Linked DNA regions of Saccharomyces cerevisiae S288C. The protein of the gene in region 1 binds, or shares a complex with, the protein of each later gene. Each region holds a gene or a part of one and is shown in the gene's direction. Other genes may lie near its edges. The genes, in order: RPN7, RPN6, SEM1 and RPN8.

The links.
Region 2: the proteins of RPN7 (region 1) and RPN6 are in contact, whole or in part, in a cryo-EM structure (PDB 5MPC), measured with the Saccharomyces cerevisiae proteins. Residues at the interface, in NP_015433.1 of Saccharomyces cerevisiae: Arg263 (codon at 2,928), Pro274 (codon at 2,961), Leu277 (codon at 2,970), Ser278 (codon at 2,973), Leu279 (codon at 2,976), Ile280 (codon at 2,979), Tyr297 (codon at 3,030), Ser299 (codon at 3,036), Gln340 (codon at 3,159), Glu343 (codon at 3,168), Ser344 (codon at 3,171), Tyr345 (codon at 3,174), Lys346 (codon at 3,177), Thr347 (codon at 3,180), Leu348 (codon at 3,183), Ser349 (codon at 3,186), Ser352 (codon at 3,195), Asp394 (codon at 3,321), Asn395 (codon at 3,324), Lys396 (codon at 3,327), Gln399 (codon at 3,336), Tyr400 (codon at 3,339), Leu402 (codon at 3,345), Leu403 (codon at 3,348), Gln406 (codon at 3,357), Gly407 (codon at 3,360), Gly409 (codon at 3,366), Leu410 (codon at 3,369), Lys413 (codon at 3,378), Leu414 (codon at 3,381); in NP_010186.1 of Saccharomyces cerevisiae: Lys152 (codon at 3,790), Leu188 (codon at 3,898), Arg189 (codon at 3,901), Asn190 (codon at 3,904), Ala192 (codon at 3,910), Glu374 (codon at 4,456), Ser378 (codon at 4,468), Gln379 (codon at 4,471), Ile381 (codon at 4,477), Leu382 (codon at 4,480), Asp383 (codon at 4,483), Lys384 (codon at 4,486), Gly388 (codon at 4,498), Val389 (codon at 4,501), Leu390 (codon at 4,504), Asp391 (codon at 4,507), Gln392 (codon at 4,510), Gly393 (codon at 4,513), Pro403 (codon at 4,543), Asn404 (codon at 4,546), Gln405 (codon at 4,549), Asp406 (codon at 4,552), Tyr409 (codon at 4,561), Asp410 (codon at 4,564), Ala412 (codon at 4,570), Leu413 (codon at 4,573), Val416 (codon at 4,582), Gly417 (codon at 4,585), Leu419 (codon at 4,591), Asn420 (codon at 4,594).
Region 3: the proteins of RPN7 (region 1) and SEM1 are in contact, whole or in part, in a cryo-EM structure (PDB 5MPE), measured with the Saccharomyces cerevisiae proteins. Residues at the interface, in NP_015433.1 of Saccharomyces cerevisiae: Phe305 (codon at 3,054), Leu308 (codon at 3,063), Leu309 (codon at 3,066), Tyr312 (codon at 3,075), Asp327 (codon at 3,120), Val330 (codon at 3,129), Arg331 (codon at 3,132), Arg334 (codon at 3,141), Lys351 (codon at 3,192), Ser355 (codon at 3,204), Gly358 (codon at 3,213), Val359 (codon at 3,216), Ser360 (codon at 3,219), Phe363 (codon at 3,228), Asn366 (codon at 3,237), Asp367 (codon at 3,240), Lys370 (codon at 3,249); in NP_010651.3 of Saccharomyces cerevisiae: Asp65 (codon at 2,701), Glu68 (codon at 2,710), Val69 (codon at 2,713), Asp70 (codon at 2,716), Asp71 (codon at 2,719), Asp72 (codon at 2,722), Phe73 (codon at 2,725), Asn75 (codon at 2,731), Glu76 (codon at 2,734), Lys78 (codon at 2,740), Ala79 (codon at 2,743), Leu81 (codon at 2,749), Asp82 (codon at 2,752), Arg86 (codon at 2,764).
Region 4: the proteins of RPN7 (region 1) and RPN8 are in contact, whole or in part, in a cryo-EM structure (PDB 3J47), measured with the Saccharomyces cerevisiae proteins. Residues at the interface, in NP_015433.1 of Saccharomyces cerevisiae: Tyr400 (codon at 3,339), Leu403 (codon at 3,348), Leu410 (codon at 3,369), Leu414 (codon at 3,381), Tyr417 (codon at 3,390), Gly418 (codon at 3,393), Val421 (codon at 3,402); in NP_014904.3 of Saccharomyces cerevisiae: Met274 (codon at 2,582), Ile278 (codon at 2,594), Ile285 (codon at 2,615), Phe288 (codon at 2,624), Asp289 (codon at 2,627), Ile292 (codon at 2,636), Ile296 (codon at 2,648).

Annotation. Positions count from the first base shown.
Region 1 is NC_001148.4:740,313-745,280, forward strand, and holds RPN7 (proteasome regulatory particle lid subunit RPN7), read left to right. Parts: upstream 1-2,141; coding exon 2,142-3,431; downstream 3,432-4,968. Other genes in the region: putative protein kinase ISR1, read left to right, coding at 1-1,080; cleavage polyadenylation factor RNA-binding subunit YTH1, read right to left, coding at 1,126-1,752; GLD1 (Gld1p), read left to right, coding at 4,377-4,968. UniProt on the Saccharomyces cerevisiae protein: Component of the 19S cap proteasome complex which acts as a regulatory subunit of the 26S proteasome, involved in the ATP-dependent degradation of ubiquitinated proteins.
Region 2 is NC_001136.10:284,891-290,031, reverse strand, and holds RPN6 (proteasome regulatory particle lid subunit RPN6), read left to right. Parts: upstream 1-3,336; coding exon 3,337-4,641; downstream 4,642-5,141. Other genes in the region: putative dolichyl-phosphate-mannose-protein mannosyltransferase PMT5, read right to left, coding at 1-123; dolichyl-phosphate-mannose-protein mannosyltransferase PMT1, read right to left, coding at 520-2,973; U4/U6-U5 snRNP complex subunit SNU23, read left to right, coding at 4,867-5,141. UniProt on the Saccharomyces cerevisiae protein: Component of the lid subcomplex of the 26S proteasome, a multiprotein complex involved in the ATP-dependent degradation of ubiquitinated proteins. In the complex, RPN6 is required for proteasome assembly.
Region 3 is NC_001136.10:1,199,620-1,203,410, forward strand, and holds SEM1 (proteasome regulatory particle lid subunit SEM1), read left to right. Parts: upstream 1-2,508; coding exon 2,509-2,778; downstream 2,779-3,791. Other genes in the region: ESC2 (Esc2p), read left to right, coding at 1-934; CDC40 (Cdc40p), read right to left, coding at 3,224-3,791. UniProt on the Saccharomyces cerevisiae protein: Versatile protein that might stabilize multiple protein complexes involved in diverse pathways. Subunit of the 26S proteasome which plays a role in ubiquitin-dependent proteolysis.
Region 4 is NC_001147.6:813,994-818,693, reverse strand, and holds RPN8 (proteasome regulatory particle lid subunit RPN8), read left to right. Parts: upstream 1-1,762; coding exon 1,763-2,779; downstream 2,780-4,700. Other genes in the region: GTPase GPN2, read right to left, coding at 359-1,402; GCD1 (translation initiation factor eIF2B subunit gamma), read right to left, coding at 2,974-4,700. UniProt on the Saccharomyces cerevisiae protein: Acts as a regulatory subunit of the 26S proteasome which is involved in the ATP-dependent degradation of ubiquitinated proteins.

The DNA of each region.
Region 1 (4,968 bases):
TTCACTACCCCCCGGTTTTACTCTCCGGAGAATTTGGCTTTAATGTTCCGTCTTTCTAATACAGTTTCTTCCCTAGAATTTCTGGATGAGTTTTTGATGGGCATATTACTTGCTCCAGAGATGGATTTTTTGTCAAATCCAAGTTATTCTCTTCCGTCTAACAAATTAGTGGGACAGGGAAGTTATTCATATGTGTACCCTATATCATCAAGTGCTTCATCAAGATGTAACAACGATTCAGGGGTTGTTTTAAAGTTTGCCAAATCACAGCATAAAAGCAAGGTGATTTTACAGGAAGCTTTGACGCTAGCATATCTCCAGTACATGAGTCCTTCAACCAATGAAAGTCATATTATTCCATTCTATGGGTTGACATACATAACTAAATCCCATTTTAGAAGACTGAGGTCCAACGAATGTGTTCCTGGCCTTATTCTTCCGAAATGCGAAATGAGTTTATATCACTTCAATACAGCAGTGTCACATAAGCTTTCGTTGATAACAAAAAGAAAAATATGGTGGAGACTTATGAAGCAAATGATAGACGCATTAAAATCTTTGAAAACAAATGGTATAATTCATGGTGATATAAAAACAGCAAATATTTTAATAACAGAAATGCATGTTCTTAATGGAGGCCATTGTAAGGATTTTGACTTCTACCTTGCTGACTTTACGTCGGCATTTCACATTAATCAAACACCAACAGATCTGAATACCACGGTAGAATACTGTGCACCAGAACTAATTGATAGCTCCTCCGATCATGTTCCTACATTTGAATCGGATTTGTATGCCGTGGGGCTTTGTCTTTTATCATTTATATCGCAGCATGAGCCTTACAACGAACTTCAGGCGTTAGTGTCGCATGGATCCTCTCCAGGTATTGGCAGTTCATCTATACAGCAGTCCCAATGGCTGATAAATGCTCTTTTGAAAAAAGATCCTATAAATCTAAACATGTTAAGAAACGATTTATTCCAGGATTGGAAGTCAGAACTAGCATTATTGTCCAGAATTCTGGTTGATAGACTTCCTCTAGAAAATCTCATAACTATACTCGATAGTAACTATATATGATAATATACATGTCTATGAAATCGAAAACCCCCAGCCATGCATAGATCAAACTTCACCGTTTATAATTGCGTTTAAACGCCTTTCCTTTTCTTCATCCATTTTCCTGGTATTTATCTCATCGTCTCTCTTAATTCTTAATTTACTACCTTCATCTGGGATTATGAACTGTGGATGTTCCATATCACATTCATCCTTCCCTAAAGGACAAAATCCGGTCATGTATCTTTGACAGAAAACCTTCTTAATATGCCGTCTAGGACAAGAACTCCCCAGAGGACAGAATCCCATTTCGTAATTTTCACATTTTGGTATCTTGCTAGCGGGATCTATGTGTAGATATTGACAATCTGGACTTTGTGTACAGTACCCGTTTTTGCTGAAGAAGACACATTCAGGCATTTTTCGAAGATTGTATTCATGTAAGTATTCACATTGGTCATTCTTTTTGCACAACCCTCGAAGCCAATGTCTACAAACAATTTTATTCTGAAATATTGGTAACACATGCTTTTTTGGACATAACGGTCCCCTCGGACATGATTTAGGGCCTTCTCTAGAATTGTAAAATTCACAAATAGGTCTGTCAGGATCGAGTGAAAACGAATACTCTTGCCTGAGGAAAGGTTCAAATTTAAAAGGATATTTTGCTGTATCGGGGTGAATTAGGCTCATTACATAAACTTATTGATTTTATTCGTCCTAGAATACTTGTTTAAGATACAGTGCAGAAATCTTTAGCTTATAATTCAGAAATGTGATATTTTGAAGCGATTGGAACAACAAAGTACAGTGCATTCTATATAATTATTAAAAGTTATAGTGGACTATTGTAATAACACTTGTTTTCCCCATATCATAACCGACGGCGCGTAAATGCATGCTCAATCAAGTTTCCGAATAAGTTAAGTTTGCCACCCATTGAGGATTAATATACACAAGGCAGCATTGAAAAACCTAATTGTTAACACTACACAAATCTCTATTGTTGTAGTAAACTGCGCTTTTTACCACTGTTACAATAGTTACTAATACACGCAAAAATTCTGGATAAACACGGCAAAATGGTAGACGTGGAAGAGAAAAGTCAAGAAGTTGAATATGTTGATCCAACGGTGAATAGGGTGCCCAATTATGAGGTATCTGAAAAGGCGTTTCTTTTGACACAATCAAAGGTTAGTATTGAACAGCGTAAGGAAGCGGCAGAGTTCGTTTTAGCCAAAATTAAAGAGGAAGAAATGGCCCCTTATTATAAATATCTTTGCGAGGAATACCTTGTTAATAATGGCCAATCTGACTTGGAACACGATGAAAAGTCAGATTCTTTAAACGAATGGATCAAATTTGACCAGGAGCTATACAATGAATTGTGCAAAAAAAATGAAAGTAAGATTAAAGAGTTAAATGAAAAGATCCAAAAATTGGAAGAAGATGATGAAGGTGAACTAGAACAAGCTCAAGCCTGGATTAATCTGGGTGAATATTATGCACAAATCGGTGACAAAGATAATGCTGAAAAGACGCTAGGGAAATCATTATCGAAGGCTATTTCCACAGGCGCCAAAATTGATGTTATGCTAACAATTGCAAGGCTGGGGTTCTTTTATAACGACCAACTTTATGTTAAGGAGAAGTTGGAAGCAGTCAATTCTATGATTGAAAAAGGTGGTGACTGGGAGAGAAGAAATAGATATAAAACATACTATGGTATCCACTGCTTGGCCGTAAGAAACTTTAAGGAAGCGGCAAAGTTATTGGTCGATTCTCTAGCAACTTTCACCTCTATTGAATTAACTTCCTATGAAAGCATTGCCACATATGCATCGGTCACAGGTTTATTCACTCTGGAAAGAACAGACCTAAAATCCAAAGTCATCGATTCACCTGAATTGTTATCTTTAATCTCAACAACTGCCGCACTACAATCTATCTCGTCGTTAACAATTTCCCTTTACGCGTCCGATTATGCCAGTTACTTTCCATATCTTTTGGAAACATATGCAAATGTTTTGATTCCATGTAAATATTTGAATAGACATGCAGATTTCTTTGTTAGAGAAATGAGAAGAAAAGTCTACGCACAATTGTTGGAATCATATAAGACTTTGTCGCTGAAATCTATGGCAAGCGCATTTGGTGTTTCGGTTGCGTTCTTGGATAACGACCTGGGTAAGTTTATTCCAAATAAGCAACTAAATTGTGTCATTGATAGAGTTAATGGGATCGTAGAGACCAACAGGCCAGACAACAAAAATGCTCAATACCATCTGCTAGTTAAGCAAGGTGACGGTTTGCTAACAAAATTACAAAAATACGGTGCAGCAGTGAGATTGACAGGGTCAGATCGTGTTTGAGGAATTTACATTATTTAGCAACGCACATAATCACATCAACATGTATACATAGTTTGGAGACTTGAGTAAATAGTAGTGAGAGGATATATGGATCGGTTCAAGTCAAAGGATTGTAATCATCCTCTTTCTCCTTTAAAACGGAGAGCTTCTATAGTTTTCAAGCTTCCATTAAAAATTTCAGTATTTAGTTCGGAAAGTTACATAATTGCAATGTCTCATAAAGGACCATGCTTCTTTTGAAAGTGAGGAATCTAAGGCTGAAAATGCCAATTCTTAAAAAGTAGTATAACCAGAAAAAGGAATCCCCATAAAAGGAAATTCATGATACGGTCATTGTTTCTTCATTTGTTTAATACGTTGTATTCGAGTGTTCTAGCCAATAAACGATTCAACTAAAACACTTCTGGTTCGCTTTTAGGGATATCGTTGAAATGAAATCACTCCATGATAGTTTAAGTGTTACAGACATTAAGAGAAGTCGGCTGCAAATTTCCATGCAGACACTTTGTCCCTTCTTGGAGGATACCCTACAGTGTAAAAGCCTCCTTAGCTTAGTGGTAGAGCGTTGCACTTGTAATGCAAAGGTCGTTAGTTCAATTCTGACAGGTGGCAAAATTTTTTCCCTAAAGTTAACACTTATTTAGCTTCTTTTTATATAAAAAATCCATGAGAATTGATTCTGCATTTTAGTTTAAATTTTTTCTTTAAGACTATGATGCTTTCATGCACAAGGTTATATTGTTCTCCTTCTCTATAGTTATTGCAAGGAAATCATATATAACGAAACACAATTTGATCCTTTTGAACCTACATTATCCCGCACTCTTGACGTATCATCAAATAAAGCTAAACTGCGGAAGCCTAAAAATACTAAGCACGCTATTTGTCATCCATTAGCAGGCCAAAAGCAAACTAATCTATGTTTTCAATAAGGCCAATATAATAATGGATAATTTTGAAAGTACTGCTGAAGGAAATTTAAGTATAGGAAACAAACGAGTATACGAACTACGAAAAAGAAACTTCCAAAGAAATTTGGTGAATAATTTGAGCTTTCTCGGGTATGTTTTAATATCATTGGAATATATCAAGTATGATCGTACCGTCTGGACACTTATAACAAGAGCAATAGTGCAATCTCTCATAAGTTCTCCTTTTCCAAGTGATGCCAAGTTACGTAGGCTAGCGACCCTCGGTGCAGATAATAACACGACGGGGGTTGCAACACTTCCAGGCGGAAGATCTATCAGGTTTCCCGGAATGTTTGGAACAGAAATGCTTTATAATTCTTCTAGTGAAGCTGAGCAACAAGACCATGATGATACCGCTATTGTGTCCATGAAAAAGCAAATCCGGAAGTTTTTATTTCATGGTTGCTTATCGTTGAATATGCTTTTCATTATCTTAACAATCCTATTCCCAATTGATTTTTTTGAACCCCTGAGTGGTAGCGAGCCAGTAGACGATGGCCCTAAGAATACTCCCTCACCCTTTTCCAATTCAGATGGTCTACTTTTGGGTGAGAGAAGAGGTGGGC
Region 2 (5,141 bases), on another chromosome or scaffold:
AGTAACTGTTCGTAATGAACTCAAATTATCACAGGGTTTTGTTATGAGAAAAGACCTCAAAGGGCCGCGTTTAATAGTCACATCGGGGATGGGATCCACCTTCAGCAAATGCTCTTTATTCATCTTTAAAGCAGTTATGATCTTACACACCTGCTTAATTGTTAAATCAATAAGAATATTTTCGAAAAAGAAGAAAAGAAACGGGTCTATGCATAATATGTACTACGCTTCTGTTCCTTTTCTATTGTTCTCGAATGCCTATTCGATAGACTTTTCGCGGCACGTAAACGAGTTCTTGGAAAAAAAACGGTGCGAAATGATAATACCACTGAAACTACTTGCAGATCATACTTATTTGAGCGAAATAGAATACGTGTCTCTAAACGCAGATGGACAATATAGTCAGCTTCAAGACATTTTTTTTATTCATGATGTTTTTTTTGTCTATTTTCGTTTTTAATTATACGCTCGAGAGCTTATAGAAGACTTTACATAAAAATGTGGAGAGTACTGGGAAATTTATTCCAAAACAGCCCTTTTTTCTACTTTTAAAATGTTAGCTCCCTCCTCTTCCAACATTTTTTTGACAACTTCTGGATCTAGTTCATTACCTTCTGTGTCTTTAAAGATTTTCTTGCCATCCTCGTTCATGAGATCTTCATACGACGGACCGTCCCCTTCTATAGTGATTTCTTCAACTGTACTAGTGGCGGCAGGTTGAGATTCACGTTTAGTCAAGGTTTGGTTTTTGTACTCTTCTAATGAAGAAAAGTATGTGTTACAATTGTAGTCCCAACCAGACAACCACTGCGATTTTTGACACAATTCTTGAGTCCATGGTGTACCGTAAATAATTGGACTGAAGCTCTTGAAGAAATACACAGAAGCAGCAAGGAAAGTGATCACTACCGCGTAGCCCATTTGTCTCTTGCTGCGGAAAACATAAGAAACTATTATGTCCAAGGCGTGGCCAAGGGCAAGAATACCGAAATAATAAGCAGGTAAGTAGTGATGCAAAAACATTTGACGTTGCATTAAGAAAGATGGAGCATAATGGACGGCAAAACCCAATAAGTAGTGAATAACCTGAACGTGGAAGTTAACAACCTTGGAGTCCTTCAAAATTGGTTTACCTAACTGCCACGAGAACAGCTCAGTGATAACAATCAATCCGAAAATACCGATGAAAGCGGTGACAGCCCACCATACGATCGCATTACCTAATAGATAGACGTTTCTGTTATTTTCACCCCAGTAACTTATACCACGTAGCAAGAATGGCCATGAAGTTGGTTGTGATTCATAAACATGAGGTTCGACCAAATTTTTATTGATATGCCACATCTTTTTATGGGATTCAATAAATTTAGAAATGAAGCTTGCAGGTTTATAGGAAATACGCTTGGTATCTTCTGGTAACAATGGGTTACTGTTGTTCTCAACGTACCACAATGTTAAATCATGTCTACCGGAGGAGGCACAGGTAACTTCTTGTTGTTCGAACCCCCAAGCTGGCAACTTGACTTCGTGGGAAAACAAATAACAGCCTGTCATAGCATGTCTCAATCTAAACTTTGTGTCCAAAGCTATGACCCGTTCTTGGGCAACTCCAGGAGCAGAATTCTTTTTATCAATCTCAACAACCCAGTCATCATTAGCATCACCGTCGAATCCGCTGTAACCATAACAAGAAACCTCCTTCTGCCAGTCGCTGCTTTCTGAAACGGGTGGCTTATGGTCATGAGAGTGTAATCTACATCTTGTAACAGTGTGGAATAGTCTGACCTTGGTACCATCGGTTAGGTTTTGGAATGTTGTTAAAGATTCGCCGGGTGCGTTGTAAAGTTCCAACAACCAATCGTTATTGGCATCCATGTGAGGATATAAAGTGCTTTGTTGTTGTTCCGAACCAGCTGGATAATTGTGTGAATGAGAATGCAAATAACCGCCCATGGTAGAGAGATGACGCAAGCTGATAATGGAGCCAATGCCGACATCAGCAACGACATTTTGGGGGATCTTATTGTTCTTTAGTGTAGATCTAAATTCAGGCGAAAAGAAGCTTGCGCCATCCCCGTCCAAAGTTAATGATTGGAAGTGGATATAAAAGAAGACCAGATAAAGGGCAAAAGGCACACCCAACAAGAAGGCCAATTTGGCAAATGCTACTTTGAAGATGGACTTGGAAGACTTAGTCAAATCCCCAATCATGAACCATAGTCTCCAGATACATAAAAGACCCACCCATGTAACCGTGAAAAGACCAACCCATTTGGATGAAGATGCCATACCAAGAGCAATACCAGTAGCAAGCAAGGACTTGTAAGCATTGAGCGAGTTGGCAGGGTACATTTCGTATTTCTTGAAAGAGTAGACTGCAGCTGCAATGAAAAACATCAATGGGGCGTCCAACAGAATGTAACGAGAAATAGTGACGTACGAGTTTTCAACGGCAAAGCAGATAGCGCTCATCAAAGCAACCCACATACGAACACCAGAATAACGTAAAGTCATGTACATCAAAATAACAGTAAGAGCCCCCAAAGAAGCAGAGAAAAATCTCATCAACACGTATGGCGTCGTAGATGGAAAGCTGTCACCAATATTTTCGAAGTCAAAATCACCCTGGAACCCACCAAGCGATGCCACACCAGCATACAACATCTTTGCAAGAGGAGGATGCACATCCATGAAGTAAGTCCCCCTAATGTATTGCGAGGCAAACCCACCGAAATGTACTTCATCAAACACCACGCTGTCAGGCCATGCCAAGCCATGCAATCTAATGACCGCTGTAAAGACAGCAAGACAGGCCACTAACAGCTTCTCTTTAAGAGTGACCATGGTTCGTAACGAGGCCAATTCGGCACTCGGATCGGTAACAATAAAGGGTCTTACGGGGCCCTGCTTGATATCCAGTTCGGGCACGGGATCATCCTGCTCTACACGTTTGTACGTTTTCTCTTCCGACATGACCGTGCTTGTAGCTGTTAGCTGTTTCTTGATAGGCTCTTCTGATACTACCTCGCTTTAACAATGCACCTGTTTGTCTTGTTTTGCTGCTCGAAAATAATCAAGATCTGCTTAGAAACGCCAAACTCTTCTTCGACACGTGTCGAGAAAAAAAACGCAGCGAAAAAAAAAAAAAAGGTATATCATCACAATATACGATATAAATGGGCAGGGCAACCCCGAATGATGTATATTCTCTTCTGGTTCCAAGGGTGGCAAATGTTGGTAGAAAGCGTAATTGAAGCAAAGATCCGTTAAATAAGGCCAACTAACAGAAGCGCTGAAAGAGGACAATTGGTGATTAATCTATAAACGAGGAACTTCATGTCTCTGCCAGGTTCGAAATTAGAAGAGGCCAGGAGACTGGTTAATGAAAAACAGTATAATGAGGCAGAACAAGTCTATTTGAGCCTGCTGGATAAAGACAGCTCACAGAGCAGCGCCGCTGCCGGTGCCAGTGTGGATGACAAGCGTAGAAATGAACAGGAGACAAGCATATTGGAATTAGGACAGTTATACGTGACTATGGGTGCAAAGGACAAATTGCGCGAGTTTATTCCTCATTCTACGGAGTATATGATGCAATTTGCCAAATCCAAAACGGTAAAGGTATTGAAAACGTTGATTGAAAAATTCGAGCAAGTGCCGGACTCCTTGGACGATCAGATCTTTGTGTGCGAGAAAAGCATCGAATTTGCCAAGAGAGAAAAAAGGGTGTTTTTGAAGCATTCACTCTCGATCAAATTGGCCACCTTACATTATCAAAAGAAACAGTACAAGGACTCATTAGCATTGATTAACGATCTTTTGAGGGAGTTCAAAAAGCTGGACGACAAGCCCTCTTTGGTTGATGTACATCTATTGGAAAGTAAAGTTTACCATAAACTGAGGAATCTAGCCAAGTCCAAGGCCTCGTTGACTGCAGCAAGGACGGCCGCTAACTCCATATACTGTCCTACACAAACAGTTGCGGAGCTGGACTTGATGAGTGGTATCCTGCACTGTGAAGATAAAGACTACAAAACTGCATTTTCGTATTTCTTCGAAAGTTTTGAAAGCTACCACAATTTGACTACGCATAATTCCTACGAAAAGGCATGTCAAGTGTTGAAATACATGCTATTGTCTAAGATCATGCTGAACCTTATTGATGACGTAAAAAACATCCTAAACGCAAAATACACAAAGGAAACGTACCAGTCCCGAGGCATTGATGCCATGAAAGCTGTCGCTGAGGCTTATAACAACAGATCGCTTTTAGACTTCAACACGGCGCTAAAGCAATACGAGAAGGAACTAATGGGCGATGAACTAACAAGATCCCATTTCAATGCATTATACGACACGTTATTAGAGTCCAATTTGTGTAAGATTATTGAGCCATTTGAATGTGTGGAAATATCCCACATTTCCAAAATAATCGGTCTGGATACTCAACAAGTTGAAGGAAAGCTCTCCCAAATGATACTAGATAAGATATTCTACGGTGTTCTGGATCAAGGTAATGGTTGGCTTTACGTTTACGAAACTCCGAATCAGGATGCCACGTACGACTCTGCATTGGAATTAGTCGGGCAACTAAATAAAGTCGTCGATCAACTATTTGAAAAGGCAAGTGTCTTGTATTAGGTTTACATGTATATATATGTATGTATACTCACAAGTACCAGAGTAAGAATTCCTAAATAAACTTATAAAATGCAGAAAATACATAAGTATGATTTTTCTTTTTTTTCTCCTAAGAAAGGAAGAAGTTTAATCGAATGCGCCGCTAAATAGAAAACAGTTGATGCGAAAGTTCATCAAAACCAGAAGTTCCTACAAGCCTTAGCTGACAAAAATTCGAGAAAGCTAATGTCGAATTTTGGCAGAAGAACTTGGGATAGAGAGGAGTATGCTGAGCAGGCTAGAAGCGGCTATGACGATCGATCCTTAAAGGCTACGCTAACACCGATTGAATTACAAGCTTTAAAATCCAAATATACAAATTACGATCATTTAATCAAGGGCTCGCTAAAAGACCTAAATAAAAGGAAACTAACAGCAAATACAGAGAGCTTATCGTCTTTCAAGAGGGGAAAGAAGTTCGGATTTTACTGCGATATTTGTAACCTAACCTTCAAAGACAC
Region 3 (3,791 bases), on another chromosome or scaffold:
CATAAGATCAATATCTCCAGCGGGAAAATACAAGCGACAGAAAAGTTCATTACTGTATACCTATGATGAAAACGATGACTTTTTCAAGGAACTTGCTAAAGAAGCCAAAAAAAGCACCACTATTTCTAAAGAATCGACACCCGACCAGCGGAAGCGAGTTTATAACATCAAATTTCTCTCTAAGCTAGAAGGAACTATAAATAAAGCGGTCCAAGTGAAGGTCCTCGGAAAATACGAATTTTCAAAAATACTTCCTGCTGCTTTGGACGGATTGATGAAGTCCTATAAAATTCCGAAGGTAATGAAAGATATATACAAGGTAGAGAATGTTACTCTTTATTGGAACAATGCAAAATTACTCACTTTTATGACTTGTAATTCGCTACATATCCCACAGGATTTTGAAAATGAAGTCTCTGATATCGATGTTACTATCGTATCCAAAGAATACGAAAAGAACTTTGAAGCGACACTGGAATCAAAGTTAAAGGAAGAAGAAGCTGCTTTACTCATAAAAGAACGTCAGGAGATGGAAAGGAAGTTAGAGAAAAAGAGAAATGAACAAGAAGAGTCCGAATATCGCGAGTTTGAATCCGAATTAAAAAACGTAGAAGAAACACAAGAAATAAAAGAAAATGATACAGTTATGAATACAAAACTTCTGCAAGAGGGTGGCTCTTTGTCAGGAAATAGTAGTAGCATGGAAGAAGTTATGAGAATCGCTCTCATGGGTCAAGATAACAAAAAAATCTATGTCCATGTTAGGCGTTCAACACCATTTTCTAAAATTGCCGAATATTACAGAATCCAGAAACAGTTACCACAAAAGACGAGGGTTAAATTACTTTTTGATCATGATGAATTGGACATGAATGAGTGTATAGCCGATCAGGATATGGAAGATGAAGACATGGTTGATGTCATTATTGATTGAGCGCAATTTGCTAAAAAAGGCCGAACTCCGGCTCTTTACGTGCCACAATTATTATTTACTATGGGCGGCGGGTGTGTTGGTGGTGCTTGCGGTACTTGTAAAATATTTTCTGAATATAATTGAATAAGACCTTTTGTGTTTAAATCATACTCGGGTAATTCTCTGTTCAAAAAGTAGGTGCTGACCCTCTTCTACCTTCCGTGAAATATTATAAAGGAATTTTTCCATCTCTAACTCAACATGTTAACGCTTTTCTATAAAAATTTGATCGCCTAATGAATACAAAAATCTCTTCAGCTTTTTCGTGCTAGGTTTGAATAGTACATCTAACGTAGAACAACTATCAAAACAATTTGATATTTCCTCGGCTATAGTTTTCTTGGAACAAGAGGTAAACTACTTCTCTATTGTTGCTACAGCAGTCAATTAAAATAATTCGTTTCATCATAATATTATGATATCAACGCTAAAAGGTTGTATAAATTACGAGATCAGCAGAAAATAAAATTCAAGCCATCATCCTTTAAGGTGATTTGAAGGGCAAGAATTGGTAGTGTAACTGCATCAATGAGTGATTAGGTGAAAACGAAGAAAAATAATAAATATGGTACTGTGCAGAATTGTTGATTTTCTTTTTTGAACTCTAAACCATCAAGAATGGCTTTCACCCACTATTGTTACACATAGTACTATTACTTACACCAAGATGGGATCCGACAAATATCTCAACACTATATTGGTCTACATGCTTTATCGATTGCTCCTTATTTACGTATTTCTATAAATAGGGCGTACTTTACCAACAGTGATCATGGATGCAAAAAATGTGAATACATTTATATGGAAAAAAGGTTTATATCAATATATTTTAAAGTGATTGAAAATTACTGATGTGTTTGATATTGTTGGAATAAGAATCAACCATCATATACCCGACTAACGTTCATATTATTAGTAAACTATCATATACAACCTAAGAAGTTGACATAAAGATTGACAAGCAGTTACCATTTTTAGTAGAAGTTGAAAAGCAAGAATTGATAACCAAATATTGTTTTCCAACAATGCAATCCCAACCCTATCTCAATATTCATAGAATTCACTTATTTCTCAGTTTAATACATGATGATGCATCTTGATATTGAGAAATTATATGTATTATCCCTTTTTAACCTTTAAAAGGTCACAAATAAATAGCCTTGTTGGCGCAATCGGTAGCGCGTATGACTCTTAATCATAAGGTTAGGGGTTCGAGCCCCCTACAGGGCTAATAACACATTCAAAATGTTATAAATTTTTTTTCGGGTTTGTGTTTAAAACTAACCTTCTAAAGAAAACAATAAAAATTATATCAACATTTCCTCATGTCTTTGTAACCTACTAGTAGGGATTTTGAAGGGCTGAAAGCTTCTTAGTTCTGTCGGATCCATTATATTATCATTATTTACGAAACTAGTGCTATGGGTGGCGAACGTGGTGGGCGTTACCTTTTAAAGTCCTAATGGAAACCTACCTATGCATAAAGTGAATAGAGTGGCAATAAAAGTCGAATAATAGTACAAATACGCAAAAATATGAGTACGGACGTTGCTGCTGCACAAGCCCAAAGTAAAATAGATTTAACAAAAAAAAAAAATGAGGAAATAAATAAGAAGTCTCTAGAGGAAGACGATGAATTTGAAGATTTCCCCATTGACACATGGGCCAATGGTGAAACAATAAAAAGCAATGCTGTAACGCAAACAAACATATGGGAAGAAAACTGGGATGATGTTGAAGTTGACGACGATTTCACCAATGAATTGAAGGCCGAATTGGATAGATACAAACGGGAAAATCAGTGAGGGGCTACATAACATTATTTCTAAATAACGCAAAAGGAAATTATACGTCTAATGTTACTTTAGTACATTGTTGTCATACTAGTATATTTTGCTTAGATGATAAAATAAATAATAAAAAGAGATACGAAAGGCTATGCGGTAGTCGATTATATGGCCTTGTAGTATAATAATGATGCACGCAAAGTATTAAATAACTCAGCTGAGATTTCTCATTTCTTTAAATGCAGTCTCAGTTTAAAAAATTAACTATATTAAGATCCGCTCTTTCTACCATATGATGCAAATGTGTCCTCGAACTAGTACTTGCAATTTCAGGTAACCCCAATCGTTTCTTTATTATTGTCATTTTTACTATCATAATAATATCATCCGTAATAACAATTAAGTAACAAATCACATCCATGTAACCATTTAATTTGTTTCAAGTAACATTCCGAGTGAATAGCTAGTCACATACATATATCTTACCTGCCGCTCCGCTGCAAATGACTTTACTTGTTTCTTGAGGATGCCAGTCCACTTGAGTTATAGGCTTGTTGCCTGGAATCTTGATGTTATTTAATAAGCGCGACGTATTCCAATCCCAAGTAAATAGTCTGCTTTTTGAATCGCCTGAACATATGTAACGACCATCACCAGAAAAAGCCAAGCTTATCCCATAACCAGCAGATGAATGCCCTTTAAATATCTTTTTTGGATGCCTCTTATATTTGGGTTTCAAACTGAAAGAATATATTCTATTATCCATGCTTTGTGCACAGAAATAGTTCTGAGACGGATGTACATTTAAAAATGGCATAGAATGTTGAGCCGTGTCACTTATTTGTTTTATTGGTACATTGATCTGATTTTCCCAAATTCTTACCGTCTTATCCTCTGAAGAAGAAATAAACTTCGAACCATCGGGAAAATACTTGAGAGCCAGAATGCTACTTAGGTGATGATCATATGTCTGCACAAGACCTTGATTTTCTGAAACACGATCATCATAATGTAATATTTTCGAATTCGAT
Region 4 (4,700 bases), on another chromosome or scaffold:
TGCCCAATGACAGATATAGGCAACGTTGTTGGTGCTAATCATTTTTAACTTGTTCTTTTTCCTCCTAGAAACCCATTGACAGTTTGCTGGTTATTTTTTTCTTCTTCCGCTTTTGCTGTCGCCGCGAATGAGTGAAGGCTGGTCAACCTGGTTAATTAGTAGCGCTGGCTTTCAGGGTACGAAAGCAATCATGTTCAGACATAGGGTTCTGTCCTTTGCAGCTGATTTGCAACTCGGCCAGCAATTCAAGAACATTTCGTAGTAAGCTGCTTTCAATTATATGCATATATACTCTGTATACAATTTTCAATTTTGAATTAAGTTCCACGGCTGAACGAGAAAAAGATACCTGAACACGCTACCTAACAAAATCCATTCCTTGTTTCTCTTCCCACTCCTTCAGCGCATTTTCCCACTCATCTTCTTCATTCACATCAACAGCTTTATTTTGCAATTCTTGTTCTTTTAACAACGCCGTACGTTTTTCTTCTTCTTCTTTATCATACTTCTCTTTATTGTCTATCCACCTGTCTTGAATGTCGTAATTCGCTATTAATGCACCTTCTCGCGAAGCCTCAGCCCACACGGTATCACCACCAACTTCGGATGCGCCGAATATGTAGCCATTTGCTTTATCTATAACACCTTGAAGATTTATCATACTTTCTTTGTCATCCACGGACAAAACCTCAAATGATACTAAGTTGAAATCTGAGACTAGCTCTTTGATTGTTTCAGTTAACTTGCTATATTTCTTTCCCAGTACACTAGAGCCTTCCTTTTCAATATATGGCTCCAAATAATCCAGATCCTGGACCTCTGTATAATAGTCTAATCTAAAGGGTAATTCTCCGTATGATTTCAGCATATCTATTTTAGAAAAAACGTTGATGTGAGGGAGATCCATCATTAACATAGACCTCAATGCAAGTAACAAAATCGAGATATATTGTGAAGGGGATGTCATGTAAAAACAGTCAATCAAATTTACAACACAAAACCTAATGTCCAATTCCTTTTCCATTTTTTTAAAGATGTTGAACAAAGATGAGTGATGAGTAAATAGCTCCACTTGGCCCGGACAGTCGAATACAAGATATGCTTTTTCTTCTTCTACAAGTGACTTGATCTGTAAAATGAACAAATCAATAGAATTATCCAATGATTCAACAGCATACATCAAACCTCCATTAGGGCCTAACTGTTGCTCTTGCATGATCTCCTCTAATGTTATAAAATCACGAATATCCACAGCGCATGGGTAAGGTAAGGCATCATTAGCAGGATCCATATTCACTACCTGGGAATGTCTTCCGATGGCATTGAAGAACTGTGAGCAGCCGTTGCAATAGGTTGACTTCCCTGAACCTGGTGGACCAATAACAATCTGAGCGAAGGGCATTATTGTACTCTCTAGTAGAAAATCAAAACTATTGACACAACAACAATCAAATGAAAACAAACCATTCTATTACGGTAAGTAGTGAAGACTCACAATGCAATCTTTCAATGAGCATCACTTACTTTAAGTAGCAATATTCCTAATCACTTATTACGAAATTTGATTTTACTAAAGTTCGGGGATACCTCAGTGGCAAATCGTTACTCAAGTTGCACGTAACGTAGAATCTACAATGAAATAATTGTGAAGCCAACAGCTAAGCAATCTATAGTGTAACGTTGGCTTTCTGTACAACTGCTACTGATTGAGGGCATTTTTCGAATTTAAAAAAAGAAAGAAAGAAAGGAAAATCAAATTACAATGTCTCTACAACACGAGAAAGTTACCATTGCACCACTAGTTTTGCTATCTGCTTTGGATCATTATGAGCGTACGCAGACAAAAGAAAACAAAAGATGCGTTGGTGTCATCTTAGGTGATGCTAACAGTTCCACTATCAGAGTCACTAATTCCTTTGCCTTACCGTTTGAAGAAGATGAGAAAAACTCTGACGTGTGGTTTTTAGACCATAATTATATTGAAAACATGAATGAAATGTGTAAAAAGATTAATGCCAAGGAAAAACTCATTGGATGGTATCATAGTGGTCCTAAATTAAGGGCTTCTGACCTCAAGATTAATGAGCTGTTTAAAAAATATACTCAGAATAATCCGCTATTATTAATTGTTGATGTCAAACAACAAGGTGTTGGTTTACCAACAGATGCATATGTCGCGATTGAGCAAGTTAAGGATGATGGTACGTCTACAGAAAAGACGTTTCTTCATTTGCCTTGTACTATTGAGGCCGAAGAAGCTGAAGAAATTGGTGTAGAACACTTATTGAGAGACGTACGTGATCAAGCAGCAGGTGGCTTATCTATCCGGTTGACCAACCAATTAAAATCTTTGAAAGGATTACAAAGCAAACTAAAAGACGTTGTCGAGTACTTAGACAAAGTCATTAATAAGGAATTACCGATAAACCACACTATATTGGGCAAGCTACAAGATGTTTTCAACCTTTTACCAAATCTGGGAACACCTGATGATGACGAAATAGATGTGGAGAATCATGACAGAATTAATATTTCAAATAACTTACAAAAGGCTTTAACTGTGAAAACTAATGATGAATTAATGGTTATATATATAAGCAATTTGGTTAGGTCAATTATCGCGTTTGATGATTTGATTGAAAACAAAATTCAAAATAAAAAAATTCAAGAACAAAGAGTAAAGGACAAACAATCAAAAGTCTCTGATGACAGTGAGAGTGAGAGTGGTGACAAAGAAGCAACTGCGCCATTGATCCAACGAAAGAACAAGAAAAATTAATTCAAAAATTAACATAACATAATATATGAAATAGATGTGTAAAACGCTATGTATTAATACAACATGTTAATTTGCTTAAGCATAATTATGTTCTGTTGAATTTCAAATATAAATGCATAATATCGCCTCTATTCTCGTCCACTTACTTACTTGGTCTCTATTAAAGAGACTGAAGGAATATACATAAGTTTATATTAACGCTCAAATAATCCGTCATCTTCGTACTCGTACTCGTCGGTATATTCACTATCATCAGAATCTTCATCGCTTCTATCATCACTGTCAGTTTCTTCGGCGATTTCACTTTCTCCAGCAATAACACTATCATCATATATTAACTCGTCCTCCTCATCTTCATCCAAATAAACGTTGGCCAGTGTTTCACCTTTAAAGTTATTTTTAGGCTCCACAACATAATGGCCTTCGATATAACAATTGCTGAGTTTACACTTTGAACCGATTTTTGCCATAGGTCCAATAATACAATTTTCCAGGATTACTTCGTCACCAAGATGGACTCCAGGAAATAAGAGAGACCCTGCAACACGACATCTGGAACCAATATTGGCCTGAGTACCGAGAACAGACATCTTGACATTACTATGAGCAGAGATTTGGCATTTGGGATCTACTATGGCATCAGCACCGATAGCGGCAGATTGAATCTGTATATTTTTCGTGAACATCGTTTGTGATTTTATCTTTAGTACAAATCTATTAGCGTCCATGTAAGCATTCAAGTTATTGGCTCTGATGAACAAGGTTTCGTTTGGTAAAATAAAAATACCTATTGGTTCCCTCGGTTTCGAATGTTGCCACGAACGACGAGATAAATCTCTAAAAACCTTACTCAATGATTTATTACAGTTTATTGGGTCCAAGATGAGATCATTCTTTTTTTTGAAGTAGGTAGGCTGGATAGATGTAGCCGAAGGTTTGTAATCATCGTCATCATCATGATTGCGATCTTCATCATCATCAGTAGTAGGAGGGTTTTGCTGTTGTTGGTTTCCAGTAAATGGATCTTTGAATGAAGCTTGTCTTGACATTGATTGAGGTCCTAATTTTAACAACTGGCAAAGTTCAAAGGAACAAAAGTAGATGAATGAGTTCAGTAACTTAGTGGATACTGTTAAATTTGGATAGTTCCATAATAAATGAGATCTGATCTGTAGATATTTTGTCTTTGTGACGTCCCTTTGAGAATAAACGTCCAAAAGTATTGGCTGCCTCTCTGAGTCTTCGTTTTCTGAATAAACAGTGAAAAATTGCTGTTGTTTTTGCTTTTGCTGTTGCTTTTTATCGATACTACTATCTAAAGAGTTCTTATAGTAGATAGTCATTGCTAGGTTATTATCATCCCTATTCCTAAATTGATCGACCAAGACTTGTGGAGGTATATCTGTGACAAAATCACAGGGCAAGATTACAAAATCGCCATTGATTCTAGGCAAAAGCTCTTTTTGCAAGGACTCACCTGTAGAATTTGCCTTCGAAGGGATGAAATTAATTTTCTTAGGATCTTGCAAGTGATGACTGTGGTTGGAATTTGACAAAGCCTTGTATATTAGTTCAAATTGTTGCTTTCTTAGGGACAAAAACGAAGTCAGTCCACTTTCAATTAATTCGATTTCGTCAACGGGTGCGACCACACTGATTTCTTTGAAATCTGCCTGATCACACCAATCCAAGACGTATTCAATCATAGGTCTATTACCGATGGGCAAAAGAGCCTTGGGCAAGCGCGTTGAATGTTGCATGAACTCATTTATGACAGTTGAATCGAGGGCGCTATTGACCAACTCATTAAGTTTGTCACCGCTCGTGGCAGCTGTACTGTCTTTGTTCTGCGTTTGGAATGGAAAATCTGGCTGGGTGAAGGGAGCCAAATTGGAACCTTTACCGCAAAAGACAAAAGCCT